Linked DNA regions of Lonchura striata. The protein of the gene in region 1 purifies or fractionates together with the protein of each later gene. This does not show direct contact. Links are inferred from orthologs where the notes say so. Each region holds a gene or a part of one and is shown in the gene's direction. Other genes may lie near its edges.

Region 1 (7,786 bases):
TGGAGTGCAACACACGTGCAGAAAAGTTGGGCTAATGAGGAGAGATGCTGTCCAATCTCGTGGACCACTGTAGCTGGAAATAGCTACGAGGAGCACTAGCCCTGGGGAGCTTCAGGAGATGTCAGCCACTGGAATGATAATTCCTTTGGACCAGGCTGAGCAAACTTAGCAGGCATTTAGGAAAGAGGAGGGGATATATCCAACATCCTTCAGGTATCCTGGGCCAGTTAACCACTGCTGTGCAGAATCATCCTCTTCAATGTTACAGGCAATGTAAATGTGGCAGAAAGTTTGCAGTCTCCTTTAAATAAAGGATATAAAAATAGTTTTCTCTTTGAAGTGAAATTTAGATTGAGCTCCCACAGGACTCTGCTCTTTATGTGTCAGAGGAATGGATTAAAATAAGAAAAATGTGGGCCTTAAAAGTTTTACTTGCTCCCATCTGAAACCCATCAGTCTCACTCTACATCCAAATACGGCGTCTCCCAAGCATATGCTATGCTTACAAATGCATTTCTAAAAAGAAAAAAAAAAGTGTATGATTTGAATATATGTCAGAATTTATACAGAAGAATGTTATTTAAAATGAATAAAAATAAATGTATATAATTTGTATCTATGCCACTTGGATTTTTGCATTCGTGTTTTTGTTCATTGAATTTCAGCAAGAGTCTTCCCAGTGACAGAAAGGATTGAATCCAATCTCATCCCAGTAATAACATTTGTTCCAAGAGAATTATTTCTTCATTATGCCCCTGTATGCGAGATGAGAACCAAGGCACAAAAATGTTTTCTATCACAGATATTCATAAGCACAGTTGACATTCTGTGTCAGAAAATCCAACTGAAAAATGAACCCTCTGATCTCTTGTGTCTGCTATGAACAATCCCAGCCCTCAGCTGTGTTTGGGAGCTCCACAGGCAATCACTGTTTTCCCACTGTTTTCTGTATCATTCACATGGACACATTTTGTCAGAGATGTGAATCACTAGCAACAAAACCCTCAGAGCAAAGCTGGAAATGGGATGAGGATATTGTATCAGACTTTTCCCCATGACCACAGATGTCTTTCAAAGGCCATTTTTCTTACAAATATTCTGAAATCCACATCTGTGGCATCAGTTCTGGGAGTGTTTGCAGAGAGGCCTGTGGAAAACTTGCATTTCCTTCTCACTTGGCAGAGTTAGGAAATTGATTTTGTTTTGCAAACGACTGCTAAAGGCTCTTTTTTGGTGAAAGCTCTGTGTGACTCTACAATTCTTGTTAAGCAAAGAACTTGGAGAGGTAAGGCTTCATACACTGATCGAGCATGTGTTTTTAAGTGTTCATGCAGAGGTTTGACTGGGCTGTGTAAGTAAGGGCCACACTGGTGAAATTCAAGGGAGTTTATTGAGATTTGCATTAGCAGAGCGGTTGGATCGTGCATGACCTAACTTAGGAAGAATCTTGCTGTGAATGGTGTGAGGAGGAGGCAGAACTGAGTCTGAACCAGGTCCCCAGAGCAGGGAGTGAGAAGAGCAGGGTGAGGGGACCCGTGCTCAGCTGGTGGTGACATCAGCCCTCCTTGTGCCAGCACAGCCAGCAGCTGGCTCCCGTCCTGCTCAGCTCAGCCCTACACTGCACTGCCCAGAAATCCTTTCCCAGACTCCCTTTAGGACTTTGCCTGAGGTGGGAAGGATCTCAGGCTGCCTTGAGAAGAAAGAAAGTTCCAACAAAGCTTCCTGGTGTGAGGGTTTAGTGTAATCTCCCCAAATGTGCTGCTAATGAATTTAAGGTTAAACAACACTAAGCAGATTATCTGAAGGCATGTTGTTAACTACTTCTAAACAACACATTTCCCAGTCCTTTCTGCCCCTTGCAGCTTCCTGATGCTACTGCGGGTTGTAAAACATGGGGCAGTGCAGGAAATTTCCCAGGGAAATTTTCCATCCTGGCTGTGTGTATACATGGAATCATAGGACCACAGAATGGTTTGGGTTGGAAAGGACCTAAAAGGCCATCTCATTTCCCCTCCTGCCATGGGCAGGGACACCTTCCACTAGAGCAGGTTGCTCCAAGCCACCTTGCCCCTGAGCACTTCCAGGGAAGATAGGCAGGGATGTATGTCTATATATCCTTATCTTTGTCCATCAGACAGCCACTTCATGAAGTAATGAACTTCACAAGGAGGGCCCTGCTGATTTTATTTTGACTACAGTGTGTTGGACATGTGTGTGAGCTGTGACTCTGCAGACTTGTGTGCTCTGTGTGCAGAGTAATTTACCCTGCACTTGTGGCTGATGGATGCTGATTTAAAAACCCACATCAAATATGTAACACCTCGCTGAAACCTTAAACAAGATTAAACAAATTGGTATTATCCTTTCAAGTGAGTGGACTTACTCATTTTATGAAGATCTGCTCTGTAAATGAGGAAAACCCACATTTCAGCCTGGCTGATCAGATCCTGGTGCCATATGGCAGACCTGATTTTGTGAACTTAATTTCAGCTTGGCAGAGGCCACTGCAAAAGGGTTTCAGTCACATAAGGTGACCAGTGTCTCTTGAGGTCTCTCACGGGGACTTGAAGGGACTAAACATCCCTTGGGGTCATCAGACCCCAAATGCAAAGCATGAGGCTTGTCCAGTTGGACAGGAGATGGGCTGAAGAGCTTTACTTGTGCTAAGTAGTGCCTGGCACTTCTGGCAGTTTGGGACTTTGCTGCAGCTCCGTCAGGCACTTGTACACATGAAGCTGAAAGAATTAAGCAGGGATGGGAAGCCCATCATGACCATACACATCCAGAGCTGCAGTGGCTGCTCCCACCAGTCTGGGGCATTTGACAGGTGAGTGCCAATGTAAACAGTGCAGGTACATGGAGGAAGTGAAGTTCACAGGGCACCAGGCCAACTGGGAATAATAAACTCACAGAACTGGGAATAATGAGCTCACAGAATTCATGGCCTGTGGTCAGCCCTTATCCGTGGCCTAATTCCTGGCTGGGTAAGAGTCCCCTTGAGATAGTCTAAAGGAAAGTGAGTGAAACCTGACCTGAGTTGGTACAAAAGAGGAAACCAAATCCAAAAGAGGAAACCAAATCTAATGCACAGGGTCACTCCTGTGCTTCCTTGTGTTACAGAGAATGCTAAGAGCAAGTCCCAGCATGAGGGACTTGAGTCCCACTTGATTCTTGATGCACTCTGGGGCAGTGGCTGGAAGGCAGCCCAGTAGAAAATGACCTGGGAGTGCTGTTTGACATGGCTGAACAAGTGCCCAGGTGGGCAAGAAGGCCAATGGCTCCTGGTTTATACCAGCAATAGTGTGCCACAGATGCAGGGCAGTGATTGTCCCCTGTGCTGAGCACGGGTGAGGTTCCACAAGTGCTGTGTCCAGTTCTGGGCCCCTTGTGAGCAGAAAGACCTTGAGGAGCTGGAGCGTGTCCAGGGAAGGGGCTGGAGCCCCAGGAGAGGCTGAGGGAGCTGGGAAGGGGCTCAGCCTGGAGAAAAGGAGGCTCAGGGGAGACCTGGTGGCTCTGCACAGCTCCTGACAGGAGGGGACAGCCAGGGGGGTCGGGCACTGCTCCAGGGAACAATAGGGACAATAGGGAACGGCTTCAAGCTGTAGGGGCAAGGTTCAGGTTGGACATCAGGAGAAATTTCTTCACAAAATGGGTGATTAGACATTATGAAGGGGCTGCCTAGAGAGGTGATAGAATCACTGTCCTTGGAGGTGTCCAGGGAACGACTGGACATGGCACTCAGTGCGCTGGGCTGGCTGACAAGGCAGGGATTAGTCAAAGGTTGGATTCCGTATCTCAGGGGTCTTTTCCAGCCTAAATAATTCTGTGACTCTGTGATCATGTAAATATCGCCGGGGGTATTTCAATCCTGCACACGGGTTCTAAATGAATTTAAGGAAGGCAAAGGATGCAGAGCAAGCAGGGTCCGGAGCTCCACCTGTGACCGGCGCTGTTACCCAGGCCATGCCCCGCGCAGGAGGGGCCACAACAGCAGCGTTTTATCCCGTTCAGCTCGATGTTCAGAAATATCGAATGCGGTGGCATTTTCTCCCACAAAAAGGGGGACAGCCGACACGCTTACAACTTTGCTTCATCAAAAAAATTCCCAGATGATTCAGAACCCGCCCGTGCGGACGATGTCAGCAGCTGCCTGCAGCAGGCCGATTGCGATGAGCAGTGACCAGAACGTGGAACTAACGCGTGTTTATTTCTTCCGCCAAGCCCAGTGACGGCTTTGCGCAGCGGGGAACGCGGTGAACACCAGCTCCAGCGGCTCTGCCAGGCTCGGCAGGAGCCGGCGCCTGGTGCCTCCCTTCCAAATGGGTGCGGTAATGGAGCAGGGCCCGGGCAGCGGCGGGGATCACCCGCTCCCCGCTCGCTGCGCGCCGCCTCGGGCGCCCCGTCCCCTCAGGCGGTCAGCGCGGGGCTCCGTCCCTCACAGCGCCCGGCCGCCCTGCCCTCAGCGGCCGCTCTGCCCTGCCCTCAGCGGCCGCCCGGCTCTGCCCTCAGCGGCCGCTCTGCCCTCAGCAGCCGCCCCGCTCTGCCCTCAGCGGCCGCCCGGCTCTACCCGCAGCGGCCGCTCTGCCCGCAGTGGCCGCCCCGCTCTGCCCGCAGCGGCCGCCCCGCTCTGCCCTCAGCCGACATGGCCGCTGCCCTCATCAAACAGGGCGGCTCCCGTTGCGTTCCCATTGCGCCCGCCCCCCGCGCGCCCCGCGGCGGCTTCAGCGCGCTCGACGCGAAGATGGCGGAAGCGATTGCGGGCGTTTGAATTCCAGGGAAGCCGCCAAAGCCGCGCACAAAGGCGGCGGGAGCCGCGGCAGCCGCGGGGCCCGTCCATGGATTCGCTGCCGGGCGAGGACCCGACGCTGCCGCTGGCGTTCGAGGGCAGGTACGGGGGAGCTGCGGGCGGGGCAGCGCGGTGCGTGTGGCGGGCCCGGCCGCCGATGGGGTGAGGGGGGCGAGCCCGCGGGGTTGTGCTCTCAGCGCTCTCCTCCTTCTTCCCCAGCGCCCTGCAGCTCCCGGACATCTCCCGCGGGGACCCCCCGCCCGGCCCGCCCGGCCGACAAGGTAAGGCTGGTCGCGGCCGCAGCCCGCGCATCCCTCCCTGCCCGGCTCGGTGCTTCGCGCTGCTCCCCAAACCTGCGGCAAAAAGGAACTCAAACTGGCGGCAAAAACGAAAAAAAAAAAAAAAAGGTTTTAAGTGATGCGCTTTTTAACGTAATTTAAGAGTTTTTAACACGACAGCTGCTGCCGTCACTGCTGTGTGCTCGCTGCCTGTGGTCATGAGGGCTTTCAGCCTTATATAAGATGATCAGCGGTTTTGTGCGGCGTGTACTTAAAATACTTGGAATATCCAGCGGGGCCGCGCTGCTCGGTCACATTCTGCTCAGGGCTCGGGAAGCTGCGCGCTGTGCATCTCCCAGTTCTTGCTGTGAGGGTTTATTCTTGACAGCGCACCTCACACAGCCGAATTCCAGTGTGCATCATCATTTAGGTGGGTAATGGAATTTGGGAGTTTATGTGATAGACAGCTTTCTGTGATCAGAAAGGAATGTAGATACTGGCACGTAATGTAAACAGGGGGCCAAGCAGCGACTCTGTCACTTCCCTAAAGGTTTTGTTGTGTTTAGATTAGTGTAGACCTTTGCCAAATTGAAGCCCTACTTAGAGAGATTCTGCTGTCTGAACTTGTTCTGTCTACTTAATGTCTAGTGGTACCAGATGTGGCAGAAGACACAGTCTCACCAGCTCGAGCTCGGACCATGAAGGATTATGAAAATGTAAGCAGAACTTTTAATGTAAGACTCAGTGACAAATTGATAGCCAAGATATTTCCAACGTGCTGGCTGATGTGTTGACTCTTAGTTTGTGTCAGTTGATACACATCTTTTGGAGGTGTGACCAGGTGAATGTCCCTGTCCATTCCTTGAACCTCCATTTTTATGTGCTGCTTTCAAAAACTGAGGTAGGAATTTGTTGCTCAGAGTGGCCAACTGCTGTGCTGAAGTTGTGAAACAAAATTGGCACCCTCTGCTCAGAAGTTCCTGCAGCTCAGAAACATCAGAACTTGGTTTGCACATCTGTTGCTGATTTATTTCAGGGAAGCATCAAGTTTATTTTCATTTAGGTTAGTGTGGGATTTGGCTTTTTAATTCATTGACTTTAATATAATGCCTTTTAACGTCATAGCATGAGTGTGCTTGGAATGCTTGTGTTGTAGAAGTCCAGTATCATTGTGACAGTTTTGTAGATAAAAGTATTTTGGCACTTACTAGAATATAAGGGAAAACATTAGATTTTTAAAAATATGTTAACTATACAGGCTTTTAAAATTGAATAAGACAGTTGTTTATGTCTGCTGGATGGTTTGATTGGGCTGTGTTGCAGGACAACTTCCCAGTTAAGGACTAGAGTGAAAAACTTTTAAGGTATTTATTGTTGTGTGAAGAAGCTGTAGAGGGGAAGGCAGTCTGAAATCTCTGAGATGATTGCTAGAGATAAAAGCTGTGACTGCTGCCTTTGGGCTGTGCCAAGAGTCTGCAGTTTCAGTGTGCTGCTGCTGCTACCTTTTGTGGCAATGCTGTGTTTGAAATGAGCGTTTCTTACAAACTCTTTCAGTTTCTTATGGCCTTACATGACCTCTGAGAAGAAAGCTCTGCTCTTTGCTCAGAATGTAAAGCTTGTTTTGGAAAGCCTTTGGTGAAAAGGATGTTTTTTTGCAGTCTGTATCTATTTCCCTTTCTCTCTTGTTTCTGTGTGTTGGCTGGGGTAGACAGACACTGCCTTGGCATTGCTATGTGCTTAAAATCTTTTACTGTGATGTGTGCCAAAGACCCCTGTCCAGAATATACATTTTGCTAGTGTTTTACTGTCTGCAGGGTTCCTGGGCACGGGAACAAGAAGTTGCAGAAAGAAGGAAAAATCTGTTGCTGTGTGTCCTGTGTGATGTAGAGCAGGGGCCTCCCCACAGGTCTGGCATCCTGCTATGCTCAGACCCCTCATGGTAAACTGAGCTGTAAAACTTCCCCTGGGATGTAAACTCTGGATGCCAGTAGTGTAATGAAGCTCAAAGATCCACTGACATGAAGGAAGAAGAATATACATTAAACACAGTAAACTTATTTCTATAACTCTGTTATTCCTATAGGCTATAAGTAGGATGTAATGAAAAGAATGAGCTCTGACCTCATAGCTCAGAGAGAACAGGATGGATGTAATGACCCTTAAATGGGCTAAAAAGTGGATCCATGTAGGAAAGGTCCTTTAATGTTTATACCTGGAGCAGGTGCTGAGCTGTGCAATGTTGGAGGTGCAGATTTTTGAATTATTTATGGAGTCCCACTTTGTTGCAATATGGAGGTAACCATTCTGTTATAGAAAATATGATTACATGGGCAAAGTGAAAAGCATCTCTGAGGAGGACCTTGTTATGGGTAATGAGGTGTTCATGGGTATCACTTAAGGGAGCTGGCTAATAGTATTTGTGGGATTCTTCCTTGTCTCTCCAATCCTTCTTAGAGTTTTACTGTAAATCTAAAACAGCCTTTATAGTTGAAAACTGTTGTGCTGTGAAACCTCAGCCACTGCTGACAAATCCCTTTTGAACAAAACTGGCTCCATGCAGGCTTGGAACAGAGCTCATCTGAGCTAGGATTTGCTGCCATGCTGTTCATGCTGTGGAATATTTTGTGCAGGATGTATATAATTGTCTTGGTTTTCATTCCTTTTGTTTAAATACAGAAATCAAAATGCATAAAGGAATTAAGACTGAGTCTTCAAATGCATA
Region 2 (7,050 bases), on another chromosome or scaffold:
TTTTAAAATACAGTGTTAATCCTTCAACATGCAAGAGCAAAAAGCAGAGCAAAGGTGACCCATGCAGAATTATTCCCCTACCTTTTCTAGGAGTTTGAGTTTCAGTCGTGTCAGGTGATCCACCACTGAAGGATCTGCCATTATCTTCTGGAAGAGCAGGCAGGCAAAAGCAGGTTAAAAAGCTAAACAGAGACAGATAGGCTTTCAGTGCTCATTTTTTTCCCCCTCCACAATTTTCACAGAATAATACCATTATTAAAAAACAGTAATACAAGATGAGGAGAGATTGAGAGAAGCAGATAAAAGCTTCAGTTTCACTCCCAGGCCAGAATGAGAACAGGCATTCATAAGTTCACAGACACAGCTTTTTCCTGCCATTTCTCTCAACATACTTTTGTGCTGCAGGTTGTGATGTTCACAGGAAGGCAACTGAGACTGAATATTTATTTATTTGTCTCTTCCTAATGGTTGCTATCCTTCCCCTGGCAGCATCTCTAAGCCTGGCCTCTGTGTTGTTAGAGACTTTTAATTAGCTCAGAGATTTGTGTCTGTAACCTGGTTGCTAAGTTTATAGTGTCAACAGGTAACATAAACAATTTAATCTCCAAGCACAGAAGCTTGTGTACCTTTGGTAAAGCAAATGCCTGGCACATTAGTGGACAAGAAAAAAAGAAATAAAAGCCAATGGTTCTTTAAAACAAGGCCAGTGCCAGCAGTCAGATTATGATCTTGCTGACTGGTACCTGTTTATTCCCCTACAGGGGGTCTGCACACTTCTGACGTAGCTCTTTACGTGAGTTATTACCACAGAGTGACTGAAAAAATTAAGGAGCATAGGTGGAACTCTCCCCTGGCTAAGTGAAGAGGCTATGGTGTAACATCTCCCAAGAAACCTGTAGAATGTCTCCCTCTCCCAGCATAAAAACAGGGTCACATTTATCAGTGACATCCATAAAATGAACACCAAGGCAAGAGAAAAAAAGCCAAGGAACAGATACACCTTCTCAGTAGGATATTTTAAGCCCAAGAGAGTCAAGTTACAATCCACTGCTCCCAGGAGACAAGTTACAAGCCTCTCCTCCCTCAAAGGACACAACAAAACTGCAGCAGAGCCACTGCTGGCAGCTGGAGCAGTTCAGAGATGTGTGAGAGCAGTACAGATCACCTGCCCCAGCTGTGACCCACACAGCCCATCCCTAAAAACACACAGGCTGGAAGGCACTGGAGAAATTAGGGCAACTAAGGTGCAGGGATCCCTAAAACAGCTGTGCTGTGCCCGAGCTGGGGCAGGGCTTTGTGGTGAATGGCAGGAGCAATGAGCCAGAACAGAAAATCCTCTCACCTGCCAGCAGCTCTCCTGGGAAACAACTCCCAGTCCAATTCTCTACTTGAAAACACCAAACAGAATTTTCTCTAACATCTTTGACTGCTTCATCTGAGCAGCTGCAGCTCAGACAGCTCCTAACTTATAAGTTCATAACTTATAAGTTCCTAACTTATAACTCCACAACTCCTAGTTATGGAGTTTCCTAAATTATAGGAAACTCCATAACTAGGAGTTTCCTAGTTATGCCTGTAAACTGCATCAGCATAGCTTGTTTCTGTGCTGAGAGAGAAACCCACCACTTTTGGATTGCTGGCTGGTTATTTTATCAACAGTGCTCCTAAAAGCTGAATTTCTAGACTTCACCATCGTATGAATAGAGGGTTACAAGAGAACTTGACGAAAATAAACAGGTATGAGTATTGCATTAAAAATACAGCACCAGTGTGAAGCAACTGAATTTCCTAAAGAGGAAATGAAGAGAAATTTTTGCTTGATGTAACAGATAGCCCAGAGAAAATCTAATACTAGGGGGTAGGGAAATTTTTTTTTTTTTTTTTAATGGCACTTTCTAGCAAACCTGCTAAAGGAGCTATCTCTTCCCACACTTATGGATGCCTTGGTCACAGTGTGATCCTTACCCTTGGGACATCTTAGAACCTGCTCATTAATTGGGTGCCAGGAATGTGCCAGCCACACACAAAATCTTGCTTGAAGGGATCTGTAGCTACACTGAATCCCAAACAATGGATCACACTTGAGAATGAGGATTCAAAAGAGCAAAACCAGACAAATTTAATCCTACAGAGGAATAACAGGTGTGTTACATGCACCTCAGAGGACATCATTATTCTGCTCTATTTAGCAGTGCTGAAGTCAGAGTTTGGACACTGCACTTAGTTTTAGACATGGTGGTTCAAGAGGGAAGGAAAGTCCAGGAAAAAGAAATAATAAAAAGGTTCAATTTACAAAATGTAGGTTCCAAGGAACACTTCAAAAGAACTGACTTTGTTCAATTAGTAAGTAGATGGTGAAAAGAGGACAGGCCAGCAGTTTTTAAATAAATTAGAGGATACAATCAGAGTGGGGTGAAGGGTGGGGGTTGTATCTGGAAAAACACAAGTATTTGGCTTAATGAGGAAGAGAAAAACTGATAAAACCAGGGAAAGAAATCTTCATTAGCCACTAAGGGAAATGATGAAGCAGCTATCAAAAAAACCCCCAACTTTCACACAAGTTGTTTACAAACAATTATAAAACCAAACTTGTTGAACATTGCAGGATCCCTCAGATATAAGAATGGATTAGATAACCTGATGAGGACCATACCAGTATTGAATTCTTTGATGTCTTGTATTGATTTTGATGTTTTATACCTTAATTTTAATTTCTATGAGTTCTGAAAGACAATTTAAAAGGATGTTATGATAACAACCAAGATGATTAGAGGGGTGGAGCAGCTCTGCTTTGAGGAAAGGCTGCGAGAATTGGGATTGATCAGCCTGAAAAAGAGATTTTGGGGTGACCTAATTGTGGCCTTCCAGTATCTGAAGGGAGCCTACAAGAAAGATGGAGAGAGGTAATTTACAGGGGCCTGGAGTGGCAGGACAAGGGGAAATGACTTCCCACTGACAGAGTAGGTTTAGATTGGATATTAGGAAAAAATTAATTTCTGTGAAGCTCTGGAACAGGTTGCTCAAAAAATCTGTGGTTTCCTGATCCTCGGAGGTGTTCACTGAGACATCTCATCATTCAGACTTTGTCTTTTGGCGTTGCCCTCGAGGCAGATGGGCTTTTTAATGCTTGCCAATCCAGCACACTGCTCCAAGTAACAGATTTGACTAAAGCCTGTATTTTTATAATTTAATGATTTCAAAACACACACAAAAAAAAGCCACTAGCTTTGTAGCATCAATAAGCAGAGCAAAAGGGAGTTGAAGGTTGGACATGTGGGACCTTCAACATATGGCCCTTCAAGGACGTTGGAGTAACCAGAAGACTCCAGAGGAGATAAAAGCCTGGAAAGCTGGAGACAACTCCACGTCCGAGAAAATGACGATAGAGGGATGAAAGAATGACAACCAAATTAGCATGAAGAGCAAAAAATCAATTAGTAACACAGGACAGAATACTGATTACCGAAGACAATCATGCACCTCAGAACCCATGGCCATTAACTGATTTCTTCACCGAAAATTTACAAATAAGCGAAAAGGCAGGAAGGGAGCCAACAACCCTCGCTGCGCCATAATGGCATCCCCAGCCTCGCCTACATTGGCTGTCCGCGCTTCCCATTGGCTGTCCGCGCTTCCTATTGGCTGTCCGCGCTCCCCATTGGCTGCCCGCGCTCCCCATTGGCTGTCCGCGCCTCCCATTGGCTGTCCGCGCTCCCCATTGGCTGCCCGCGCTCCCCATTGGCTGCCCGCGCTCCCCATTGGCTGCCCGCGCTCCCCATTGGCTGGCTCCCGCGCTGGGCGGGAACGGCGCTCCTTTTGAAATGGCGCCGGGCGCTCCCATTGGTGGCTGCCGCGGGGGGGGCGGGGCCGGCGGCTGGCGCCGGCTTGCCCGGGGTATCCCAGCAGCCATTTAGCAGGAGTGGGCGGAGCCCGGCGAAGAGAGCCGTTCCCATTGGCCAGAGGCCGCGGCGCGTCGGGAGCTGCGGCCAATGGCTGCGGAGCTCCGCCCGCGCGGTGCGGCCGGCGCGGCGGCGGCGGCGGCCATGACCGGGGCTGCGCTGCCATGACCGGGGCTGCGCTGCCGCCGTGAGGGCGCGGGCGGCGCGACCCGGCCCCGCCGCCGCATGGAGACGCCGGAGGAGGCGCGGAGGCGCAAGCTGGAGGCAGGCAGGGCTAAGGTGAGGGGAAGGGGTCCCGGTGCGCTGGGAGAGCCGGCAGGCCCTGCGTGTTTCGCTTTACCCGGCCCGGGTCTCGCCCCTCCGTGGCGGGTTTCGCGCCGCGCTCGGATGTGGGTGCGGGGCGCCGGCCCGGCTGTGTCCCCTGCAGATCCCTTCCGGCAAGATTCCGTGTGTGGCTGGCTCATTCCTGGCCCCCCGTTAATGAGCAGACGTCCCCAGAGGAAGGACCGCGGTGGCCCCGCGGCAGAAGTCGTGCAAACATTGCCTCGGGCCGACAGAGCAGCTGACAGCAGCGCTCCTACCGCCCTTCGGGCTCTGTTTTCCGTGCTTGTTCTTTGCTGCCTGCCAGCGCTCCCGGTCTTGCCCAGGATTCGGTGTTTGTGGGAATGCTGCGTTTCCAGCTGAGGGTCCCAAGGAGCGGGTGCTGGTTTATTACTCGGCCGGCTCACTCGCTTGCCTGGTGCCCGCAGGGAGAGCAGAGAGCTGGGCTCCGTTTGTTGGTTTCCAGTCATGCCGGAAGCAAACACTTCATAAGCTTTGAATAGTCAGGTGTCTTCACTGGGGTGTAGTTTAGGGACTTGTGTAGCGTTCACAGGATATAAAGATAACACTCTCCAAGTAATTATTACCTGCAACCATGTGTTTAACGCTGGTTGTGTTCTAACCCCGTTAGATAAACACTTCTGCTTTGTTTTGGTAACTATGTTCAAGGAGCTGATTGGAAATGTTTGGTTATTTTCCTTTCAGTTCAGCATTTCTGCTGGGTTTTGAGCTGGTTTTGTCATGTTTCTGTTCTGGCTGTCCCTGCTAAATAAGGCTTTTTAGTTCTCACCATTCCATTAGACTGGAGGGGGCTGTAGCTAGAGGAAGTTGTGACCCATCAGATCTTTCCAGATCCTTTACTTTTTGCAGGGAACCTGTCTGGATATCTGGCTAGTGGAGTCAGAGGTGGCTTGGAGCTGTCCTGTGTGTCTGCTGTATTTCTGTTTTAGCTGCTTTCCACAGTGCTGTGCACAGGAAAGTCAAAGAGAGCTTTTGTGGAAGGGAGCAGGGTTGTAGCTGAAGCTGCAGCCTGGTGATGGGCAGTAGAGTTCCTCCTGCCCTCCCTGATGCTGCCATGGATTCCACACTGCCTGCTCCTGCTCAGCAGTTTCTCATCTGCCTGCCTTCCCAGCCTTGTTATGTGCTGTGAGAACACAATCCTCTGCTGGAGAGCAACTGTTCCAGAGAGAGAGCTCTGAAAGGATTTCTTAAGGTTGAAAGGTTACCTTAGTATGGCACAACCTCTGTTAACATTTCTGTTAACATAGATTAATTCCAGGTGCAGGAGTTTTTTTATTATTAGAAAAATGTGACAGACTTAGCTTGAGTAAGTTATTAGTTCCCACCTGTTGGCAAACTGTTGTTTACCAGTAAAAGAAACAAAAAAAAAAAACCAAACAGGGACTTGCCTTATGTTCTTATGTTTCAAGTTTTGCCTTCAGAGCCAGGATTGCATTTACTATTTTTTATACTGTGTGCTAAATCTCTCTTCCCATTAAAAACAAAAAGCAAACCAGGAACAAACATGATTGGCAGCCCCATCAATGTTGCTGCTGCACAGAATGCTAAGAGGAGAGGGAGAGTTTTAGAGAGGCAGAGATAGATGTAGCACTTCCCCTGCTGATTAAAATGTCACAGAGATCTATTCCTTGGCTGGCAGACTGTGGGCACCAGACAGCTTTCAAAAAGCACCCAGGTGACATTTCCCCTTTCTTATTCCTCTGCTTTTCATTTTTCTATTTTTCTTTCTGCTCCCCTCCTCATGGATATAGCACAGTTTTGAAAGGGAGGAAGAATTGTGAGCAAGTGCAGGTTCTCCTTGCTGTGGTGCAGCCTAGAGCAGCTTAAGGAGATCCATCTCTGGTGTGACACAGAAGTGTTCAGTGTCCATCAGATCAGCTTTCTGTACCATCTCTAGAGGAGCTCCTGGCAGGAGTGAGGCTGGCTTGTGTGTTAGAGGCCTCTGTTGTAGCAACCTGTGCACTGATGTAACTGCAGGTTGATGCTGCTTCACTCTGGAGGGCTTTTTGCCTCACCCCCACCCTCCAGAAATGAATTATTTCATCTTTAGCATCCTTAGATTTTAGTCTGCTAAGCAATGACTTGGCAAAGAAACACGATCTACATGTTCTCCTTTTCATTATCAAATGTTCTTTTTCTTATAGGAATAAAAATTCCATTATTAAGATGCATTTAAATGATCACCTAATAACATTTGTAATGTAACTGTTATATTTGTAATGTAACTGTTATATTTGTAATGTAACTGTTATATTTATTGGAGACTGTAATTGGCAGCTAAGTACCTGACTGTATCAGGTACCTCAGATTCCTATTTCTAACAAATGCAAAATACTGATAGCCAGTTTAGTATTTGAGAAACAGAACAAGCCTAATTATTCAGTGCTGCCTTTTTCTCCTCGTTTGTTTCTACCTCACATTAATTAGTCTGCATGTTGACCACCTGTGCCTCTAGTTACAAAGCTCTCTGTGCCACACTTCAGGTGTGGCAAGTTTTGCTCTGCTTCCATTTTATAGTTAGGACCTTAAAAATGAGTGCAGGTTTTCCAGGAAGTTTTCTCATCATTTTGAGGAAGGTCTAGAATATATTTATTGGTTTTGTCTAAGAGTACTTGTTGCTTATGTTTGCTGTATCCAAGAGCTGGACTAATGTTTATTTGAACAACCTCTTTTCTGTTTGGTGCTGATGTGGTTTTCTGCTCTGTTCTGTTTTCCCTGGGTGTTGGTTTTGATGCTAATTTCTGAAGCATGTGAAGTAATGCATCAGCTTTTAACCAGCTGGTCCTGGTGAATTGAAGTTGCAGTGCAT

Evidence for each region. The genes of interacting proteins can lie anywhere in the genome.
Region 2: the proteins of CDK5RAP2 (region 1) and PCNT purify together in Homo sapiens (co-immunoprecipitation; 4 studies listed by BioGRID and IntAct, with this or other methods). This does not show direct contact. The link is inferred for Lonchura striata from reciprocal best matches to the Homo sapiens genes CDK5RAP2 and PCNT.

Annotation. Positions count from the first base shown.
Region 1 is NC_134624.1:1,084,685-1,092,470, forward strand, and holds the start of CDK5RAP2 (CDK5 regulatory subunit-associated protein 2), read left to right. Parts: upstream 1-4,707; 5' UTR 4,708-4,835; coding exon 4,836-4,888; intron 4,889-5,005; coding exon 5,006-5,067; intron 5,068-5,712; coding exon 5,713-5,780; intron 5,781-7,786. UniProt on the Homo sapiens protein: Potential regulator of CDK5 activity via its interaction with CDK5R1. Negative regulator of centriole disengagement (licensing) which maintains centriole engagement and cohesion. Involved in regulation of mitotic spindle orientation.
Region 2 is NC_134610.1:33,103,098-33,110,147, forward strand, and holds the start of PCNT (pericentrin), read left to right. Parts: upstream 1-4,044; 5' UTR 4,045-4,124; coding exon 4,125-4,178; intron 4,179-7,050. Other genes in the region: C8H21orf58 (uncharacterized protein C21orf58 homolog), read right to left, coding at 82-141. UniProt on the Homo sapiens protein: Integral component of the filamentous matrix of the centrosome involved in the initial establishment of organized microtubule arrays in both mitosis and meiosis. Plays a role, together with DISC1, in the microtubule network formation.